Linked DNA regions of Lonchura striata. The protein of the gene in region 2 interacts with the protein of the main gene of each other region in a biochemical or structural test. Links are inferred from orthologs where the notes say so. Each region holds a gene or a part of one and is shown on either strand. Other genes may lie near its edges.

The links.
Region 1: the proteins of DTL (region 2) and KMT5A form a complex in vitro, tested with the Homo sapiens proteins (2 studies listed by BioGRID, with this or other methods). The link is inferred for Lonchura striata from reciprocal best matches to the Homo sapiens genes DTL and KMT5A.

Annotation. Positions count from the first base shown.
Region 1 is NC_134620.1:13,052,231-13,063,027, reverse strand, and holds the start of KMT5A (N-lysine methyltransferase KMT5A), read right to left. Parts: upstream 4,156-10,797; 5' UTR 4,076-4,155; coding exon 3,920-4,075; intron 1,883-3,919; coding exon 1,729-1,882; intron 911-1,728; coding exon 697-910; intron 31-696; coding exon 1-30. UniProt on the Homo sapiens protein: Protein-lysine N-methyltransferase that monomethylates both histones and non-histone proteins. Specifically monomethylates 'Lys-20' of histone H4 (H4K20me1).
Region 2 is NC_134605.1:12,059,340-12,071,029, reverse strand, and holds the start of DTL (denticleless protein homolog), read left to right. Parts: upstream 1-6,580; coding exon 6,581-6,626; intron 6,627-7,039; coding exon 7,040-7,165; intron 7,166-8,002; coding exon 8,003-8,101; intron 8,102-8,395; coding exon 8,396-8,457; intron 8,458-8,545; coding exon 8,546-8,666; intron 8,667-9,130; coding exon 9,131-9,196; intron 9,197-10,320; coding exon 10,321-10,436; intron 10,437-11,101; coding exon 11,102-11,175; intron 11,176-11,690. Other genes in the region: INTS7 (integrator complex subunit 7), read right to left, coding at 1-11, 1,097-1,296, 1,814-1,860, 2,331-2,468, 5,013-5,159, 5,995-6,124, 6,264-6,354. UniProt on the Homo sapiens protein: Substrate-specific adapter of a DCX (DDB1-CUL4-X-box) E3 ubiquitin-protein ligase complex required for cell cycle control, DNA damage response and translesion DNA synthesis.

The DNA.
Region 1 (10,797 bases), on a different chromosome or scaffold from region 2:
ACTTTTCTGTTTGGTGTTCTTCCTTGTGTTCTAAGGGGGAAGAAAAAGAGAACACACACACATATTTCAGACTATTTGTTAAGTTAAAGCACTAGAGCAAAGGTATGTGCGATAAATTTTTATTTGAGCTTGGTAAGTTGAAAGGTGATCAATATGAATCAGTGTTTTTTATCAGTACTCTTAGTTTCAAGCCACAGCTACATCCCCTTTTCTTCCCCACACTATTTCCATTACTCCAGTACTAATTCTTGAACAATACAAGTGAGATGTCGTTGGAAATCAACTGAAGGTCACATTACAAGTCTGGGGCCCCCTGCGTGCCTTGCCAGAAGGCACTCGAAAATTTAGGTCATGAAAACTGCTTGGCAAGGAATTAATTAATGTTAGGTCATATTACTCTGATACCAAGAGAAAGGGTATCAGCTCAGCCAGGAAGCCTCCAACTGTTCTGTTTCTGACAAGACACATTCCCATTTGTCCACAGGAAAGTAGGTCTTAATGGCTCATTATTTTCTTCCATAGGTAACCAGCAAACATTTAACTTGTGATAGAACAATAGAACACATTAACCTTGCTTTCACAAGACAAACAAGTCCTCTGCAAAGTAGGTACTTGGATGCTATTTTAGGGTTTTTAAAGCATGATATTCTTGAGAAAACAAAGAGCCATCCTTTCACAATTCCAGAAGTCACTTACTTTTTCCTTGGTCCTCGTTTTGCTTTAACCATCTTCTTCTGAGCTGGCTTTGCATTGGCCTCCTCAGCACAGTCTGCAGGCAAGGGAGTCTTTTGGGTTTCCACAGTTTCTTGGTTTTGATCAGAGGGCACCGAAGGATTGCACCCACCTTCCTTGTCCTTCTGGTCATCTGGTTTCACAGCACCTTCAATTATTTTGCCACCTTTCTTTTTTCCTGGTGACAAGGAAATCGAGTAAGGCTCTGAACTTAGGACCAACTATACCTGAGTGCTTTAAATGAATTCCAGTGGTTTAGAGTTCTGTCAAATGAGAGAAAAAGGAGAACAATGACCCTGCACTGCTGGGCTCAGCAGCTGCAGATGTTGGTACCAAGAGGCCAGTGCCACCCAGGGTAAATCCATGGGAGCTAAAGGGCTGGCACTGACAAGAAATCCGCACTCCCCACAACAACCAACATTTACTTGTTTTTTTGCATCCTACCCCAATACAACCACATCCTCCTCCTCAGATAACTGACTCAGAGGTAGGCGAGAGTGGTTTAAAGCTCATCAACGTTTTTATGTAGAGTAAACCATCAGGTTTAACAGTCCCATCTGCTGAGACAGATGCTTCAGTCTCACTGGAGAAAAGAAGCACAGCTGCAAGGCCTCAGCAGTGGGACAAACTAAAGCCATCTTTACCTCCTTGCCAAAGCTGGGGGTGCCAAATTAGGAACTAAAGGCCCCAAGTTTCCAGAAAGCCTGACACTCCTTGTGTCAAATGGGACTGAAAATGCCTGATTGTAAAATTGTTTGCATCAAAGTACTTTGACAAATTACCAAGGCTGTTAAATGCACCTTTAAACACAAGCCAGATGGGTTTTCTTCCCCTTGGTAAACTTACAGAACACTCCCATTTCTAGTCACTGTGAAGCCTGCCACTCGGCATCCAGTTTGGGCTCATCCTCACTGCTTGTATTTCTTGATGAAAATATTAGAATTGGGGCAGTGGGAGCACCTTCACCAAGATAAGCAATCCAAAGCTTAATCTTACCAGCTCCTTTCCTGTAGGTTTCCTTTAGTGTTTTGCCCTGACATTTCACCTCGTGATACATGACAGAGTTTTCTTCTTGAAGCGGGGGGCGAGCACCAGGTTTGTTGGGATTCAGGTAGCTGTAGATTTTGGATTGACCAATAAACACATTCTCCTAAAACAGACCCACACAAAAAAATCAGTTCAGCACAGAGAGTTCAGGAACCTCAAGCTGGCATCCACAACCGTCTGCAGCAACCAGGGCTGACAGGTGATTGTGCTGATGCAAATTATACTGTTTGAAGCATCACACTCACTGAGGTTTTGATTTCTAAGTGAAAACAGAGTGCTGAGAACTTAAATAATAAAATGTGGCAGGATGGAGTAGTCATAGCTAACTCCAGCCTCCACCCTTGTGCTTCACAGTATGAACTTTGGTGTGAAAAAAAACCCAAGTGGGAGCTCCTGGGGAGGAAGGCAGCCTCAAAGAGCACATGCCAAAAAAAATATGAATAGTGCAGCAAAAATTGCCCAGGCCCAGTAGAGAGCTCTCACAGCCAGAGCGGTATGATCTACCCAGCTACTCTCAGGAGGTATCAAATGTTGTTGCAGCAAATTATATGCTCAACTGAGCAGCACAGAAATCAGTTTTACAGCCTACCTTGAGTGACACCTCTCAGCAAAGCATAGGAGATAAACAGTGCTATATTTTATCCATTATATGACATAAAAATAAAGTGTAAAGGTTGTTTATGGCAAAAAAAAAAGGGCCCTTAAAGGATCTGTGCAAAGCCCAGTCAGGAAAATGGCAAAATGGCAAAACCCTCTGGTATGGCCAGACACCACAGAGCCTGGGGTTTGTTTGCTGGCTCAGGCTCCAAGATGCCAACAGTGAGCAGTGTCAAATTTAGCAAAGATTAGTGGAGTCCTGTCACCTTTGCTTTCACAGCCTCCTGCCACCTGGCTATGATTGCCTGTGCAGAGTATGGCAGGCACATTCCAACCGTGAAATCTCAGAGTCTGGACAAACAGATGCAACTTGGGCAGAATGAGTTTTTCTTGGCTATAATTTGACTCAACCAAAAGCAATTTTCAGACATTGCATGCCAGTTAAAACAACAAAAATATGCATCCATTTTCTTAGAAAAGCAAGGAACAAAGGGTCCCAGTAGTCAAAAAAAGCTCAAATATTGCTGACTAAACAAATACCTCAGTATTTCAGACACAGACAATGAAAAAGTAAACAAAGTACACAATAGAACAGATAGGATAATTTTAATAATTAACGTGGTAATGAATAACAAACTTCCTATGTACATAATTCACACAAAATTAGACTAGTTAAAAGCTCAAATCTTAGTCCAAATATAAACGACTAAAGACTGAGATTACGATGGAACATCCTGAGAAAAAGCAAACAGGACAGACACTCCCTGACCTCTAATATTTCTGAAAGGCCTATGAAAGGCAAAACTTCCTTATTAAAAAACCGGAGCTTCCAAGCATGAAATACTATGAAAACACTCAATTTTAACAAATACAAGCAATGAACCCTGAGCTTCAAAGTCCTCAAGATTTAGTAAGAAGTTTAAATACGGGCATTTTGGGAGAAAGCCCAAAGCAGTGAGCTGCAGTCCACCTGCCAGCTGAGCCTTCAGGCTTTGAATACACCATGAACGGGAAAGGAACAACTATTTTTCCAGCATTGCTTCCTCCCTTCATTCCCAGCTCCCTTCCTGCTGCGCTCTTGGCGCAACCGAGATGCCGCTGCCACGTCTTTGTCTGTGCCAGGCTTGAGACCCCGGGGAGCAGAGATTTTCTCAGCACAGCGAAACACACGGAAGGCTAGAGAGGGGCTCCAGGATTTAATGCAACAGCCACAATTATTCCCACTGGGAGTAAAAGGCAAAGAGACAAGCAGCGTCCGGCCAGCTGCCTGTGACAGAACTACAAGACGGGGAAGATGGCACGGAGGGAATGTCGAGCCTAGTGCCTGTCTGCGGTAGGGCACAGGAAAACACGGAAAGAGTCCGACCGTACTTAAAGTTAACCGATTTCTGGCGGATTTGAGGGGGTCCCGAAGGCCCGGGCCCCGCGGCTCCCCGGGGCAGCCCGCACGCCGGCTCGCCCGCCCCGGGGGGAAGCGGAGGGCACGGCAGACCCCGGGAGCCGCCCGCCCCGCTCCGCCCGCCCAGGCCCGGGCACTGCTTACCCCGCCGGCCCGGGGGCGGCTAGGGCCCTTCCTCTCGGCGCTCTCGGGGCTTGCCTTCTCCACGCCGCCCGCCCTGGTCTTGGGCATGTTCTTCCCTAGGAGCAACGGGGGAAGGTCGGCGGCTGAGCCATGTCCGGCGCTGCCGCCCGCGGTCATCGCCCGGCCGCCCCGGCCTGCGCCATGTTTAAAGGGCTGGATGCGGCAGGGCGAGCCGCGGCGGCCCAGCCCCTTCCCGGCGAGCTGCGCACACCGCGCGGGGGAGGAGTCCCGCCGGCCCCGGCTCCCCGCACCTCCCAGGAGGAGCTTCCGCGCCGCGGAGATGCCCCGCGCCGCGCGGGCCCAGCCCCGCCGGCCCCGCCGCGTCCCGGCCCCGCTCCGCTCCTGCCTGCTCCGCCCCGCGCACCTCCGGCCATGGCGGCGGCGGCGGCGGCCGCGCGCCTCGGAGCCCCCGCGCCGGGCGGCCCCGGCTGTCCCCGCGGAGTCCCCGCCGCCGCCAACCGCTCCGCAGGGAGACGCCGCGTTACCCTCGGCAACCCCATTGGTTTAACCGCCTGCCAATCATCGCGCTCAGGCCTCTGATTGGCGCGAGCGGCCATGGCCCGCCCTCCCCCTGTCACACCGCGGTGGCTGCGGCTCCCGGGAGCAGGGTTTAAATGTGTGTTCGCTGGGCGCTGATTGGTCCGTGCCGAGAGCAGGCGGCGCTCTGATTGGCGGCCCGGCAGGGAATGCCCCTCCGCGGCCGGGCCGCGCCACGTGGTGGGAGCGCGCGGGGCGCGAGCGGGGCCGTGCGAGCCCGCGGAGCGCGGGGGCACCGTGGTACCCCCCGTCCGCTCCGCACCGGCCCACGCCACCTCGCAGCAGGGATTCGGGGTACCCCTAATCCTGGCGGGATTGTAAAACTCTGCTCTGCGAAATTATTAGGCTGCATTACACAATGTTTGGTTTAGATCTCCCTGGCTGAAGTTTAAGTCTATTAGTTCTATCTTCCAAGCTTGCCTGGAGAGCAGGTAATTCTCCAGCATTGCACTGAAGTGTCAAAGACCTTATGTAAATCTCCAATCCATAACGAGGGCAGCTAAAATATTACAAAGGCAAATGACAGCCATCATTATCACCAGGAGAGCTGGAACTGCCTTCAGCATCGACTTCCTTGTCAGAAGCTTCCAACAGGACTAGTACATGCACTTTGAAATCAAGAAAGTACAATGGCAAAGAGTAACACAGCAATGAGGCAAAGCACACGTGGCTCAGGGGATCTGGATGGATGCCACGTGGATGCCATCATGGAAATCAGGAAATTGCCACACAGGACTTCAATGCTCCACGACAAGCAGAACGCTTCTATTGAGCAATGGTGCAGGACTCCTGTTTCCTATCTGTGCCACCCCTCCTGCATCGAGGCCTACAGAGTGTGTGTGCTCAGGAGCTGGGGCTGTGGTGCTTGTGCTGGCCCGAGCGCTATCGCCACAGGGGTGGCTTCCCACCCCAGGCTTATCTGTAGCCACAGGCTGCTGCTTGTCGCTGGCATTCCCACAGTGACATAAACAGCCAGTCTGTGGTACAGCTGAAAGCCATCCTTTCCCTTAAGAACAGGAAAAAAACCCTTCTCATCTTAAGTAAGAACTTGGGGCCTCGTCCTTTCCAAGCTGTCCCACAGCAGCTGGGAGCTCAGAGGGCAGGAATTCAGTGTGACTGCAGAGGAGTCTCAGAAGGCAGCACAGCATTCCAGCCCACTCCCTACTTTTCCTGTGACAGTTCTGCATTCAGGCACTTTGGGAGAAGACAGAACAAACCCAGCTCTTCATGGGCACTGTCATTTGGTACATCTGGGTCTTCGATCACCAGGCAAATGAATTTTACAGAGAGGCAACCAAAACTCACTGGGAATTCCCCTGTAAACTCAAAGCTGCAGCCAGCTGACATTCTCTGGGCATCACGTCCATGAACATCCACGTCCATGGTGTTCTTCCACCAAGGCAGGTACTCCAAACTCTCTGCACAAGCACCAGAGCAGACACTGCTCTGATTTTTCCACCCCAGTTTGCACTGTACTTATTGCACAGCAGGGATGTAACTGGCAAAAAAAAGATCTTCATAAACTACTAAGATGATTTCCTTCTTACAGTAATAGGGAGCACTCTTCCTAATGTCTTGGGAAAGCTCTGGAAACGGCCTCAACTGTAGTTTTGCTCAGCTGTTGGGGGTTGTGTGTTTTAAATTATGATTTTACATATGTATGTTAAGCAAAGGCACCGAGTTGGCATCGAAGCCGTGCGGGCCACCAGTAGAGGGCAAAGGAAGCCAAGGAATTCTCTTCCCCAGAGCAACAAAGAAAACAACGTCATCTCTAACTGGCCGCTGCTCCCGGCGCGGTGGGATCACGCTGTGAATTAGCAAAACATGTTGGCTTTGCCCCTCAGCTGGCTGCGGCCAGAAGCCAGAGATGAGCAGAAGTTGAAATGCTGAAGGCTCCAGCCCAGGAGAGCGTGGCTGGAGCCGCCCGTCACTGTGACTCGGGACACGCGGCACATGCAGGGAGCGCTGCCGACTCCCGTAATCCAGAGGGAGCAGCGCTAAAACCCAGTGACCTAAATATTCTCTCCCGTAGTGCCGCATGAGCAGCTCCCGAGAGCACCACGTTTTACTGCGGAAATGTGAAATTGTTTTGTGGGGGAAGGGAAGGAAGAGCGAGCGAGGCGTTGATTTGCTCAGAAAGGGTAGAAAATCGTCAAGGTAAATCTCTTCGGTCTAGATGAACACTTCATCCAGGTTAAAAAAAAATTCTTATTTTATCTTTGAATTAGTAGTCTCATTTTCTGTCCAATATACCAAGGAGATGCTTGTTAAATATTGCCACCTGAGAGCAAGTTCTCACACAGCACCTGTCATATTTGCAATTTGCAAAATAAATGACAGCATTTACACAAATTTCTCGTTCACAAGATGAAATCCCTACAATTTGTGCTTCAGCCACTAGAAATCAAGTAAAAATAATCCCTGAGGGTAACTGCTGAGTGTTACATTAAGCAACATCATTTTATAAAGTCACAGAGTAAAATGCCAGTAGGTGCTAACTGCATTTCATAGATTATAAAATATAATTACATTCAGAATTGTATCTACCAATGATTAAAAAAAAAAAAAAATCTCTGACTAGAAAGTGCAGCGAGATCCGTGAATTACATGCCAAAATTCTATGGAAACAGAGTCCTGCAGACAAATGTGCCTGTGCTAATTCCACGCCAATGGAAAGCAGCATTTCCACCAGCGGGATTACTCACCTATTGCAGTCGAGGATGATCACAAACGCTGACAGGTAACTCCCTTTTCAACTCAAGACATCAAAACCCTCCCTTCCTTGTCACGTTTGTACAGAGCTGCTGAGATTTAAAGTTCGGTTCAGCACGTGTGAGCTGTACTTCATCATCTGAAGTGTGCAGAGGGCAATAATCAAGATAAAAGCTGCCATTTCAATTGTTCTTCAGGTCTCTGGCCTCACTTCTGTCATCTTTTTCTCCGTTTGAAGCATCACTGATTAATCTGAATTACTTAAATCATTTTAATTAACGTTGCTTTGTCTTTAAATAGTTTACCCTTAATCTGTCTAATCCTTTATTGGGTATATTAATCTCTGTTAGATTTGTCTAATGATAAGTAAACTTGCACAAGATTGAATAAGTAGCACTGCACATTTGAATTGCTTACACTTCATCTGTCTGCCTCAATTCTGTGTGAAAGTTCTCACAAATGTTCATGGTTTACACAACTGGGAAAGCATTTTATTGGAAGATTGTCTCTTTTAACAAGTCTTCTCAGTCTGGGGGGCCTCCAGCGCTAAAAAAAATGTCTCCAAATGTGAAACTAGCACGAGTGGTCTCCAGATTTTAACTCACTCTTTGCAGCAGCAAGTTTCACATTAGCAGCTTGTAAAACATTCGCAAGGGAAAACTCATCACATCCCCTGGGCATTCCCAGGGAGGGCAGCAGGGAAATCCTCCCGCGTTCTGCCGGGGGAGATCCGGTGCAGGAGCTCCGCAGGGCCGCGGCGCCGTGAGGGGGCGGAGGTGGCGGCGCCTCAGGGCGGGGAGGCACCGGCCGCACCGGGCTGCTCGGAGCCGCCAACCGCGGAGGGACGGGACCAGGGGGCCGGCTGAAGTGAGAGGCATTCACCGGCGGGAGCAGGGGCGGGGATGAGCTCAGAGAACACCGTTTCGCCGTTCCCCGTTTCCCCTCACGCTCACACCGAGCCCGGCCCGGTCCCGCCAACGCCGCCTCAGGCGGGGGCGCGCGCACGGCGCCTCCCCCCCCCCCCCGCCCCTCCCCGTGATGCAGCGAGAAACGCGAGGTCTCGCGAGAGCTCCGCCGCGCTGCCGGGTTCTCGCCGGCAGCCGCCATCTTGCGGGAGCCCTAGGTCACGTGACCGCTCGCTGCCGTTCGCCTCCGCCTTCCCCTCCCCCCACCCTACCGGGAACCGGGCCCGGATCGCCAAGGCTCGAGTGCGGCCGCCGCTTTGGGGCGGGGCCCGCCCGCGGGGACGTCGCTTATTTGAAGGACGGTGGATACGCCGGGTTTTTTTGTTTTTTTTTTTTTTTCTGGGGTGGGGGAGAGAAGGGGGAACTTGCTACCTCCCCGTTGCTGAGAGCGGAGAGAAACCGAGGCGCGGCATGCCACGTGATGGGGGGGCGAACGGGGAACGCGCGCCAGGGCCCGGCGACGGGAATGGGGGGGGGGGTGGGCGCGAGACGGCGGCGGCGGCCACGTGACCGGGGAGCCCGCGGGGCGGGGGGGGCGGGTCACGTGGTGCCGAGCGCGCGCCAGCGGCGGGCGGTGGCTGGCGGGGTCACGTGGGCGGGGAGCGCGCGCGGCGCGGCGGGGGGAGGGAGGCGCGGCCCGGGTCACGTGGTGCGGGCGGCCCCCTCCTCCGGCCCCCCCCCCTCCCCTGTGAGGGGAGGGAGGGCAAAGATGGCGGCCGTGAGTTAGAAAGCGGCGGGCGGCGGGGCCGGCGGCGGAGACTTCCAGGAGCCCGCGGGAGCATCGAGTGCGACGGAGAGTAAGTCCCGCGCTGTTCTTTTGCCTGGCGCCGCGCCTCTTTGGCCGCCTCTGGCCGCTTCTCCGCATTGTGGGGCCGCCCCGGGGGTTTCTTCCCCTCAGCTCCTCACCGGGGCCCGCGGCGGCGGCGCGGGGGTGTCCGGGGAGGACCCGTTGTGCTGGGAGCGGCTCCGCGTCTCCCTCGGTCCCTCAGCCCCGGAAGGCTGCGCGGCCGCCCCCGCAGGGGTCCCGGTGGGCCGGGGGCGGCGCGGCGGGCGGGCCGGGCGCCGCCGCCGCCCCGGCGGAGCCCCGGTTGTCCCGCGAACTTGGTGCCCGGGGGCGTGCGGGGGCGGGCGGCGGGGCCCCCCGGTTCTGGCGGAGCGCTTCTCTACCGGGGGCGGGCGCGGCGCTGGGTTGAGCCGCTCCCCCCCGCCGCAGCCCTGCGCGGGCAGAGCCCCCCGGGCCGGCCCGGCCCGCGCCTTTGTGCGCTCTTTCCGCGGCCGCCGATTGTTGAGGTTTGAAATGGAGAAACGAGGCCGGGGGGGATGGGGGGAGTGTTTGATTTATGGTGCCGGAGCGGCTCCGAAAGCCGCCGTGAGACGGAGCCCTCCCGCCCTTCCCCCGGATTGCGGTGCTGTTGGAGGGATCTTTAAAGAGGTGAAGGTCTGGGAACAAAAAGTCGCTCATGGGACGGGATTACGCAGCCGATTCTGGCCCAACCCGGAAGTTTATGTCGGGAACACGTGTTGGTGGGAAGGTGGCGGGGCAGGAGCCGCCGACCCCCGTCTCTCCCGTCGCCTCCCCGGGGGCTTCCCCGCCCTGCCGAGCCCTCTGGGCCCCCGCTGCTCCCGGGGAGTTGAACCGCGGCGACAGACACGGCCTCAAAGTCCAGGGACTCGTAACGAGCGCACCTCAAACAGAGGTTGCTAGGGTGAGTAATAGTTTAACATAGAAATGCCCCTGCAGTCTGATGGGGAAGAGGCCTTTTGGGTTTTTCTTCTGGGTTTTTTTTTGTTGTTTCTTTATTATTTTTAGCTGGCCAGGTTCCACACTGCATTTGAGAGTATAAATTAGAACTCTTGTACTTACTTTCAGGTATTTAAACACGTAGGTTGGTTATACGTGTTCGATACCTATTAAAGATGAGGCAGATTTTGTAAATGCTTCAAAAATAAAGCCCTTGAATTGATTTGTTAGGTAACTCCAGAGTGAGTGAAAAAAAAAAATTTAGTGTGATCAAACGGCACAGTGTGAAGTTAGGAATTAACTCAGTGGTAGACTATTTGGCTTTAGACTACCAAGGCTGTGTCTGGATTAAAATTACTTAAAAACATATATTAATGTTTTGTAAGCTGCCCTCCCCCAAAATGAAAATCTGTAGTTGATGTTGTACAGCAAGAATTGAAATTGTGTAACAGCGTGACATTTGAATTGGTATTCTGTATCTCCCTCGAAGCCATGAGATGTTACATTTGTATGCAATCTTAATATTTAGAAATAAAATGTGGGGAGTTTGTCTTTTTTCCAGACTACTACTTTGGTTTCAAAACTGGCTGAGAACTACTCTAAAAGCAAATTAAGCAGGTCATGGATGGTGCTTTGAGACACACCTGGAGCTGCCTCCCAGGCTAAAACTAAGGGTCCTAGTGCTCACTTGCTGTTCTTATTTCTTGGAGTTTTTACTTCTTAAAAACTTTCACTGCTGTCCAAATTACCAGATCTAGCCTTTTAGTATGAAAGCTGATTTTATGCCAGATTATTGCATTGTTAAGTCTTAATATTTTCAGAACTTCTGAATTTCACATTTGCAGACTGTGTAACATGGCAGTTGTAAATTTTGTAGAACAGTC
Region 2 (11,690 bases):
AAAAGTTGAATCTGCAAGAAAATAAATTCAGTGCTTAAGAGTGATGCTACTAGAAGGAATTATTTTCAAAAGCACTCAGGAAGAAATGTTGAGCACACTGAGACAAAACTAACTTGAAAAAGTAAGAACACGCCAGCCATGGTTTTTAGTCTTCATCCCTACCCTGGCTACCATCAGTTTTATGCAGTATTAGTTGCTGTGCTGCAGAAATATAGCCTAAATCTCCATGTTTGCTGCCATAAAAAAAAATATAAAAGCAGCACATTAAGTGTTCTAATGTTGCTTCAGTAGACTTAGGTTCAGTACCATCAGAAGTATCATCTGAAATACAGAAATGATCCACAGCAGAGTTTCAGACAGATCAATGCCATTACCTAACAACCACAGACACCAGCCTTGCACAGCTGTACAGGGCTGAAAGAAAGCAAATAGATTTTTGTGACTCCTTTACAAAGAAAGATTAGCTGGATGAGTCTCAAGTGTCACTGTGTTCAGAGCTGCTCTATAAATCACATCCACAAAGCTCATTATCAGAGCATAAAAAGCACTGTATTTTTCCATCACTGCTTTTCCATTACTTGGTTTATAGTCCTGAATTTAAGGAAGCAATTGAAATTCCTCAAAACTCTCCAAGAAATACACTTTAAATGCATTAAATATTCATGTGCTTGCATGAAAGAAAGGCAAAAGGGACACCCACAACCCACAACAATATACAGAAGTGCTAAGTAAAGCCTGGTTTCCACAGGCAAGTTGAAGCTCTTTCAGAAAAAGTCAGGGTGTTTATTTTCCTGCATGCTGATCTATCCATGTTGATTTGAATCCCATTGTTGATTTGAATCCTTGATTTAGAAAAAGACCTGTTATGAACTGTAAAAAAGGTGTAGTGTGTTTGATACAGTCACCTGAAAATGGAACCAGAAAAGGTTAATATATGACAGCAGCAGCAGTTTTCAGGGTATTCTTCTTCGACAGCACACAGGAGCAAGCAACCCAGCACAGCCATCACTGTTTATTTTGATCAGCAGGCAGGATCTGAGTGCTTTTAAAATGTACTCTGTACTTCAAGAGGAAGACATGCCTTAGGAAGAGTTACCTGCTTGGGAATGTCAACCAGAGAAGAAGCAGCAAGCAGAGTAAAGGTGTGCAGGGTGACAATGACCATCTTGGTGGAGGGGTAGGATGTCACCAGCTGCTGCAGCAGCTGCCGGGAGCTGGAGGCCAGGCTGGCATCGTGGTGCATGTGCTGCAGAATAGGGATCAACTTCAGCTTCAAGTCCACAGGTGTGGCCAAACCTCAATAAGGAGAGAAACACAGCCAGAGTTAGTCCTTGGGCTGGCTTTTTTTTGGCAGCTCTGAGGCACAGAGTACATCTGGCTTGCTACCACTGCTGAAAGGAGATTGTGCAAACACCTGCAGTGGCTTCAAATAACTCATGTTCTAGCTAGGTGTGAAATGACAGCACTATCAAGCACTTCCATGGTTGTTTGGGAAAGCTGCTTCTTGCTTCACTGCAGGTAACACGCAAATTAACTAATCTGAAACAACCTATGAGAGTCTATGCAAATTTATCCATCACACTACAGATGGGCTTTTATTCTGTACCAAACAGGTGCTTTGAAAACTTAAATTTTAGGAGGATTTAAGATAACCAGACAGACTATTGGTCAGCTAATTTAAAAACTGGAATAATCTAAGGGCAACAGCATTCTGTAAATATAATAAATATAATCTAATATGTAAATATGAATAATGAAGAATTTTCAGAGAAATTAAAGTTTTTCCTCTTTATCATTCAACATACACACGTACCTTGAATCATCTCGCTGATTTTATTACATATTCCAACAGCAAAATCCCTGCAGAGAAAAGAAAGTACCAGGTGAAATGAAAAACAAAAAATTAAGTAATTAAAAACTGAAAAAAAAAAAATTGACTGAACTACCAAACACAATTAAAAGTTACACAAAAGAGTACCTGCCAAAACCTAAGTCTTTTCAGAACCCCTGCACACAGGCATGACCAAATGAGAAAATGAAGGCATTCAAAAACTAATAAGCAGCACTACATTTTGCTAATGTAATTTCTGTAAAATAATTCTATGAGATTGAGAATTAGAATAGCAGATTTAATCATGATTGAGAGCTTTCCATTTTAGGGAAAAAAAAATCTGCTGAACTTGCATTCAGATTTCCTTACATCATTATTGCACATAATTGTTTTCTATAAAGGACAGCACAACAGAAAATAGTAAGGTTTGTGAATGCCAGTGTTAATGGAGCTTCCATTCTCTGTAATGTGAAAAAGTAAAAAAAAAAACAGTTCTTACTTAGACTGTGCAGAAAAGTTGGCAGCAGCAAATATTGCAGCTTCAACTTCCACATTATCATGGGAATCCAAACTCTGGCGAATACTGTGATGTGCATTCTTCCTTTCTGGAATGATAGTTGCCATGCTGCCCAACATCCTACAGAAATAAATCACAGCAGAATCAGGAAGAACAGTGATCGTGAAGAAATAATGAAACCAAATAAAATGTAAAAAATACTGGTTAAAAGTCTATGTTTATATAAATATGTGCTCTTTCATGACTATTACAGAAACAAGCAATTACTAAAATTAAGCATCTAATTAAATGTAACAGATTTTGTTGTGTGGGTTGTGTCAGCGGTTTGATACAATTTAATTACATTTTGATACCTTTTAGCTTGAAATTGGCACAGTGAAAAACCTAACAAAAATTCTTTTAAAATTAAGAGCATATAGCATGATTTATTTCCAACATCTTTCACTGATGTAAGATAAGGTAATTAATGAAAAAAGTGCAACACTTTTTGTATAACTGCTAAAAAAGCAGCAAATCAACCTATACTTTGCTAAAAATATTTCAAAGAGAGCTTACAGGCATATTTAGCACAATCCAATTAAAAGAATAATAAATGTAGGATTTATATTGATGGTAATTTTAGCTAGAGTTCTGTGCAAATATTTACAGTTATCTAGCAATAAAATTCCACAGACAAAGTTTTGTTTAAGCAGCTCCTTCTTTCAACATGCTCTTCCTTATTGACACTATTCAAGGAGGCCCAAAAAATAAATCAACAAAAGATTTTAAACTGAAACTGCTGAACCGACAGCTACTTTAACATTTTATTTGATGCATCCTGTGAATTCAGTAATTAAAGTACTTATGCAAACTGAGAGGATTCCTGGGACTTGTAGCAGCCTGTGAAGATAACCCTCAATGCCAGTCAACAACTGCAATCTTATATTAGAGCACTGAAGAGGAACTACAAAAAACCATGCAGACATATTGTATTTACAGATTTCTGAGACACCAGGGCATGAAAGCATAACCTCAAATGAAATACTGAAAGAAAAAAGAAATGGACACTTGACCTCATCAATCAAAGCTCTGTTAATGATTCCCCATCTCCCAGCAGTAACAGTTCCAGATGGAGGCACAAAAAGAATATAAAGAAAGAAAGTGCTCTCTTCACATTTGAATTCACCTGCACAGGGGCTGGAAAATGCAGTTAAAAGGATCATGTTGGATAGTATTAGAGACACAGTCACCAAACCAGCAGGACAGTGACATGAAAGACAGATTAATTTTGTTTTCCCATTTGATTCCCAGAAGTTCAAAGCAATCAGTAATATAACAGCATTTCCTTAGAAGTTATTGATCAGAGATCATCTAGCAGTTCTAGCTAGGACAAGGCAGAATGAATAGCATAGTGCAAGCATAACAAGGTTCATGTAAGTTTTGGTTGCAAGTTAACAAAAACTATTTTGACACAAAAGGAAGCACTTTCACTTGGTCTAAAAGTATCCTAGCAAGATGAGATATATCACATATAGCTCCTGTCTGGGTTATGCATACAACAGATTCAGTTTTCTTCTCTGGTGTACATAAAATTTCAACACTGCAAATTATGTTTTGCCTGGGACCATCCACAAAATTCTTACCATCATAAATGGTTAATAACCTTGTTCTACTTATTCACAAAATTCTTACCATCACAAGTGGTTACTACCTTGTCCTTGTTATTACCAATCCTTATCATTCATGCCTTTGAAAGACAGATGTTTCTGCTTTTAACTCTATGAGCAATGTATAAAAAGCCTCCTTTATTTAACTCACAAAATCACAGAACGGCCTGGGTTGGAAGGGACCTTAAAGACCATCTAGTTCCAAACTCCTTGACATAGGCAGGGACATCTTCCACTTGACCAGGTTGCTGAAAGCCCCATCCAACCTGGCTTTGAACAGTTTCATGGATGAAGCATCCATGAATGCCTCCAACTTCTCTGGGCAACCTGTTCCAGTGCCTCACCACACTCAAAATAAAGAATTTTTTCTCAGTATCTTATCTAAACCTACTTTCTTTCAGTTTGAAGCCATTTTTCCCCTTGTCCTATCACTAAAGGCTCTCCATCGTTCTTGTAGGCTCCCTTCAGGTACTGGAAGGCCACAATTAGGTCACCCCAAAGTCTTCTCTTCTCCAGGCTGAACAATCCCAATTCTCTCAGCATTTCCTCACAAGAGAGGTGCTCCATCCCTTTAACCACCTCGGTTGCCTCCTCTGGACTCCCTCCAACAGGTTCATGTCCTTCCTGTGCTGGAGGCCCCAGAGCTGGACACAGAACTGCAGGAGGGGTCTCAGCAGAGGGGAGCAGAGAGGCAGAATCCCCTTCCTTGGCCTTTGGCTGCCCAGGCTCTTTCTGATGTAGCCCAAAACACATTTGGCTGTCTGGGCTGCCAGTGAACATTGCTGGGTCATGTCCAGCTTTTCATCCACTAGCACCCCTAAGTCCTTCTAGGCAGGGCTGCTCTTGGTCTGTTCATCCCCAGTCTGGACTGACACCAGGGATTGCCGTGGCCCAGATGCAATGCCTTGCATTTGGTCTTGTTATTCCAGACAGGCACATTGATAGACCTACAGGTTTGAAGTAAATCAGAATCATTCACCAGATTTGAAGTAAGTCAGATCACTCATGCCATACATACCGCAGTGTGATAGCCCGAGCAACCGGATCATTGCTATGGATTACTGAGAAAACTCTCTTGACAAATTCATCCACATTTAGGATCTTCTCTAAGTGCTTCTCACTCTGCTGAGTAACTTTCAGCACACACAGCCTCAGGAAGTTGTTCCTGTTAGAAAACACATACGTTTCCTTGTCAGGCTATTTTGAAACAAAAATTCAAGTACTTTAAATACTAAAATTATTTAACTACAACTTTTGGAGCAAATTAAAACAAGGAGATATCAATGCTTTAGAAACATTTGCGTAGACTGATAGAGTAAAACAGATACTATTAACATACTATTGCTTTATTTTCTAGTTCAGGTAGTGTCAAATTAAAGCCCAGTTCCAGGGCAATGAACTTGCTGACACCAGTGAGGAGGGGTGTAAGGATGCCTGTTTTGTGCACACACAGGGATCCAGATCTGCTGGAAAAACACATTCAAGACTAAGACAGAGAAGTCTTAATTACCACTGTCAAGTGCTGAGCAAATTTATTTTCCTTCCTGAAGGCAAGAGTGAAGATTCCGCAGCATCAGAATACACCTTTGTAAGCTTTTAAGAAGGAGTTTTGATTACATTATGTACATCACTCAGACACCAGGCACTTGGAAAAGCTATACTTTGTGAGCTTTGTTAGATTAAAATTGGCACATGTGATCATCCATCCATTTATGAGTTATGATTTGAATGTGCTTATGGAGCAAAACTTACACCAGTGAACTTAACCCAGTCAGAGAGAGAATCCTCAAATCAGGACAGATGGAAAGGAACTGTGTCATCACTCACAGCCACTCAAGCCCACTAAAGAAGGGGAAAACAAGTTCCAATCAAGCACAGCCGCAACAGACCGGGTACCAGAACGGTGCTGGCAGGCAAGCAGGCCATGCCAGATCCCAGCGCAGCCACACTCCAAGGCACAGTGCGTTCCCACGGAGCAGGCTCGAGCGGGCAGTACTCACCCCACTCTGAAAACATCGGCTAGCTTCAGGAACGCCGAGTTGATGAGGATGGGGAACGGGTATTTCTGGAAGAGCCTCGGAAAACGAACGACGGCTTCGCACTGCTCCCCGAGCTTGCCGGACCTGAGGCCTAGAGGAGACAGCAGGAATCACCGCACAGCCCCGGCTCCTTCCTCCGCCCCCGCCCTGCACAAAGCGCTGCCAAGCGGAGCCCCCGCCCCAGCCCCGCTGCCCGGGGCGGCGACAACGCCGAGCCCGCGCGGGCCCACCCTTGTCCAGCTCCATGAGGGCGGAGTTGGCGTCCAGCTCCTGCTCGCCATAGCCCGCGTCGGCCAGGAAGGACTTGGCGCTGGCCGCCATGGCTGCCGCTCGCCGCCGGTCCGCGCACGCGCAGCCGCGCGCCCGGCCCCGCCCGCCCGGCGCGGCCGCGGGAGCCGGCGGCGGGCGCGGCCCGCCCACCCCCGTGCTGCCCAATCAGAGGAGGCGGGCGAGGCGCGGCGCGCTCGCCGCTGACCAATGAGGGCTCGCGGCGCGCTTGGCGGGCCGGTGGTTTGGCGGGAGCTGGCTCGGCCGTGTCCCCGTGGCCATGCTGTGCCGCGCGCTGCTCCGCCGGGCCGCCGCCGCGCCCGCCCGTGAGTACCGCGCCTCCCCGCCGGTCCCGCGCCTCCCGTCCGGTACCGCTCCTTCCCGTCCGGTCCCGCGCCTTCCCGTCCGGTCCCGCGCCTCCCCGTCCGGTCCCGCGCCTCCCCGTCCGGTCCCGCGCCTCCCCGTCCGGTCCCGCGCCTCCCCGCCGGTCCCGCGCCTTCCCGTCCGGTCCCGCGCCTTCCCGTCCGGTCCCGCGCCTCCCCGCCGGTCCCGCGCCTCCCCGCCGGTCCCGCGCCTCCCCGCCGGTCCCGCGCCTCCCCGCCGGTCCCGCGCCTTCCCGCACGCCCTCCCTTCCCCATCCATCCCCGGCCGCCCGCACAGCCGCGGCGGCCGCCTTGCGGCTCGTGGCGCCCGAGCCTGTGGGGTCTGAGGCGCTTACGGTCCGTCTGTCCCGTTGTAGGTCGGTCCTCAGCGCTTCCCCTGCAGCATCTCTTGGACAGCTACCAGTGCAGCCGAGAAGATGACCACCTGTCGTACGGGGGAACGGGAATGCCAGTCCCTCCTTTCGGCTGCACCTTTTCTACAGGTAAATTCACCTCCTGAATGATCTTTTGAGGGGCCAGGGTATAGGTTCTGTTTCAGCAGTTTCTTGTTTTAAAGTGAGCTTGCTCCTGCAGCCTGCTTGCTCCTACACGTGATAAACTTTGGATCGTGGTGCACCTAGATACTGATGGAAAGTATTCCCTCAAAGAAGCAACTATAAAGCATTTATTTTAGTGTCTCTTTGTTTCATCTGTGTGTGTGCTTCAAGGCATGTCCTCTTGGAGATAGTGTGAGGCTACATAGGCGAAAAACTAGGCTTTATTCAAAATATCTAAAAACTATAATAGGGTGGAGAACATTAGGTAGAAATCAGAGGTGGATGGATGTCACCAGGAGTTACACACAGCATTTCCCCATGATGGGGGAAAGGAGTAAGCAATGGAGCTCCTGGATCTTTAGGGCAAAACTTCTTCATTCATTGTACTCTAGTTTTGGCATGAGATTTTACATTTCTCTAAGGTGGCCTCCTTCTTTTCCAAGTCAGATCATGGAAAATGCTGGAGGCTGTAGATGATAGGTACTCTAGAGATAGGAAACTGTAACTAGAAAACTGCTATAGCTGGTGGAAGAGGTATTATCTCAAAAGTTGTTTCTGGAGTCATTTGATTGCCCATGTATAGTCATTTTAGAACGGCACATCTAGAAAAAATGCTTGCTAGTATTTCTGTATTTTTACAGTTAGGTTGCTATGTAAATGCTGTTTATTTCACAGCTTTATGTTTGCTGCATTCCCTATTTAAAACATCTGTGGCTTTCACAAAGAGCAAGGGTAGGATTTTGTATTAGCTACATAATATAATACGCTTCAATTTCTTTTCAGCCCCAAATTTGGAGCACATCCTGGCAGTTGCAAATGAAGAAGGGTTTGTTAGACTGTATGATACTGAAGCACAGACCACCAGCAAGCTCATCTTTAAAGGTAAATGTATAGAAGGTGATCTTCATTTGATGTGACAAGTGTGGGACTTGCTGGAATCAAAGAGAGCTTTTTGCAAGTCCTTAAAACGTAAATTTTAGGCAGTACTTTATTCCTTCTGCATAGCAGCAACACAATGTGCTCTTACTGCAGTAGTAGATGAATTGTTCTGTATTGTCTTTCATGCCTAAGGCAAACTGTTGACAAGATTTCTGATTTCATGACAATCCAGATGTCATTTGCAAAATACCATGCTGCGATGCACTGAACTAATCTTGGCTTTTGTTTTCTTGTTAGAATGGCAGGCTCACTCAAATGCTGTGTTTGACCTTGCCTGGGTGCCAGGAGAACACAGGATTGTAAGTAGTCTTTTGCCATCTCTTTTTTTTAATGCCTTGGCACCTCTGTACAGAAAATGACTTAAGCTTTTTATTTTTCCCTCTGAAGGTCACTGCTTCAGGAGATCAGACAGCCAAGGTGTGGGATGTGAGAGCTGGCGAGCTTCTTGGCATATGCAAAGGTCACCAGTGTAGCCTCAAGTCAGTTGCTTTTTCTAGATTTGAGAAAGGTAAATGTTGGTATTCCCTGTTGTCTGTTTTTTCCTTCTTTACCCCCGGCAAAGTACTTTTAAGGGCTGAAAAAAGGCTTTGGAAACTGACGGGTACCAATAGCACAGGCCTGAGCAGTGACCCAGCCAGGAAAGCAAAACTGTCTAGTTAGAACTCGATGGTGTCCTTATGCTAAAATCAGCACATTGCTGATCTTGGGCAAAGATAGGATATCTGCTTCCATACCCAAGCGTGTGAATATACTTTCCATGAGCTGGTTTCTCTAGTGGGAGTAAGAAAAGGATAGTAAGGGAAAGATAGCAAGTCAAAAAGCATGGAAAAACAATGGCCTGAGTTTTATATTTCCAGGACTGGCATCACAAGTGTTGGGACAGAAGAGCCAGAGGTACATAGGTGCATTGTACTGCATTCAGTTAATTAAATGAATGCTTTTAGAAGGTAATAACACTTTTTTTTCTTGCAGCTGTTTTCTGTACTGGAGGGAGAGATGGAAACATCATGGTTTGGGATACCAGGTGCAACAAGAAAGGTAAATAAACTTTCAAATATGTATCAACAAAGCTTGGTATCTCGTGTAAAAGGACTGCTCAGATGGACTTGTTGGACTGATACTTTTAATTACAATGTAGGCAGCAGAGGCTTCTCAGATAACTTTACTGCTTTAGGTGCTGTAAGAGAATGGAATAGGTATCTCTGTTATATATGTATAAGACATTTCTCTACTTTGCAGCAGTTGATGATGTGCAGCATCAAACCACAGGCTGGTTTGAGAATTCCATGTGTGTAGGTAAAGACATGAGGCTGTATAGAATACATCCCTGCTAGGGCAGTGCAAAGCAGATGAGATAGGAGAGATTGCTTAGGTCAGAGCCATCCAGAGGGGTGAGGAAAAGCTGGAAAGGCTCCTGCCAGAGTAGAAAGGAAGGCAGAAAATGTAAGAAAAAGGAGCTTGTGAGTGCTGGTAGCAACTGAATATATTGTGGGAGCACCTACTATAAATATGTGAGCTCATTCTGCTCCTCTGTTTCCTGGAGCTTTTCCTTCTCCAGCCCCTTCCCCTTATGCCATTTCCCAGTTCCCTGCTCTGCCACACCAGTTTCTTTGCCTGAACATGTCTTGCTCTTCCATCTGTCCCAGGTTCCTTGGCTTTTCAAGCAGGCAAGTGAATGAAAAGTTGACTGACTCCACATGATTGAAGTGGAAGGTGTAGGAAAAAAAAAAGTAGAACAGTCGCCTTACTCTAGTAAGGCAGTACATTTCTAAAGGTAATAGACAAAAGGCTGAACAGGAAATTATAAAATAGAGCACTGGAAATCTTCCAGTGAGTGCAGTTCTGCTTGGGATGAGTGGGTAGAACACTCAGACCGGGATGCATGTGAAAAACAGATAAAGGGGTAATAATTTCCAAAGGCAGTCTGCCTAGATCAGTTTTAGTTTCAATGTTCATGCTACACTGACCTCTGCAGTTTTTTGCACTGTGTTTTTCTCACTGGTTTTGTATATAAGTAATTTTTGTTTTCAGGATGCATGTATGATTTTAAAGGTTAACCTAAGTTACCTTTTAGGTCTAATCCCAAACTGATGCCTGTTTTATTAAAGTGATAGCAAAATTGCATATAAACTACTAATTGAGATGTCTTTGATTTCTTTCAGATGGCTTTTACAGGCAGGTAAATCAAATCAGTGGAGCACACAATGTGGCTGAGAAGCAGACTCCTTCCAAACTGAAGAAGAGGAGGCAGAACCTGAGAGGACTTGCTCCCTTGGTGGTGGGTATCTGGGCAACAAACAAAATGTTCCTTCTGGGGACAGTGGTATTCACAGAATTCTTCCTAAGTAAATGTAGTGAGAAATATGTGGCTTGTATGTGGTAAATGCTTCCATTTACCTTTGCAGAGATAGAGTTTTTTGTCATGGTCATTCACAATGGCTAATTTTAGACATTGTTTAGTTGCCTAACAGCCCACATGCCATAAAAGCCAGCTTTGGGCAAATGCTATGTGAAAATACAGGGGGGATTTTTTTCCCTCCCCAGGGAGGAAAAGAGTGGCTAGCATTCCCATTTTGAGGAGAGAGATAGGGAGAGTTGTAATTTTCTTTTTTTACCCCCTTAATTTGACCAGATAAATTACTGCCTTACTGGAGGAAGACCTGATAATTTTTCATCTATTAAACTTCGAGATGAAGGCAGCTCTCTTATCTGTGAGCTGAAAGGTGTAATCTCAAACTGCTGCCCAAACACTTATCTCTCAGTGGCAATTTCTCTGGTGGGAGTGTTCAAAGCATTGTTGTGTCCTAAATGACATCTGCTGTTTCTATGTTCTGCTGCCTGGCTAGGAGGAGGTTTTCACTGCGTTCACACGGCCTTGAACTAAGCAGCAAGATCTTGCTGACCTTAAAAGAAAATAAAATTCTTTTTTCCTCTCTTTTTAAGGATTTCCAGCAGAGTGTAACTGTGGTGCTGTTTCAGGATGAGCATACTCTTATCTCTGCAGGAGCTGTTGATGGGTAAGGAGGGAGGATGCCTGCTTTCCTGTCCATTCTGTGTGCTCAGTGGCATAAAAAGATTGGGAGATTTTCTCTCTAAGACCACTCAGTGGCCAAGAAGGCTAGAGCTACTGCGAAGTGGAATCAGTAGCTATGCTGCCAGCTTGCACTGGCTTTACTTCCTTACTGGAGATTGCAGTACTGGACAAGCTGTGATATGTGGTAAATGCTCATTTTAATCTTAGCTATGGGGCAGAATGAGAGCAAGTCTTCCCTCTCTCTTTTCTCACAGACCTATGAGACCACACATAGACAGACTATTGTTAGACAGCCTTATGGATGTGAGTGGGTGGTCAGAGCCTGGACATGTGTAGGCATGTTTGAGAAAATGTTGCTTTGAGTTACAAAAGATGCATTCTCTTAGGTGCCAGATCTCTTGGAGGGATCAAGCATCTTGGAGCTTGAGCAAACTCTTATTGATCAGCATGGAAATTATCCTCTTGGACTCAATTCTTTAGCAGGTTCCATGTGGTCAG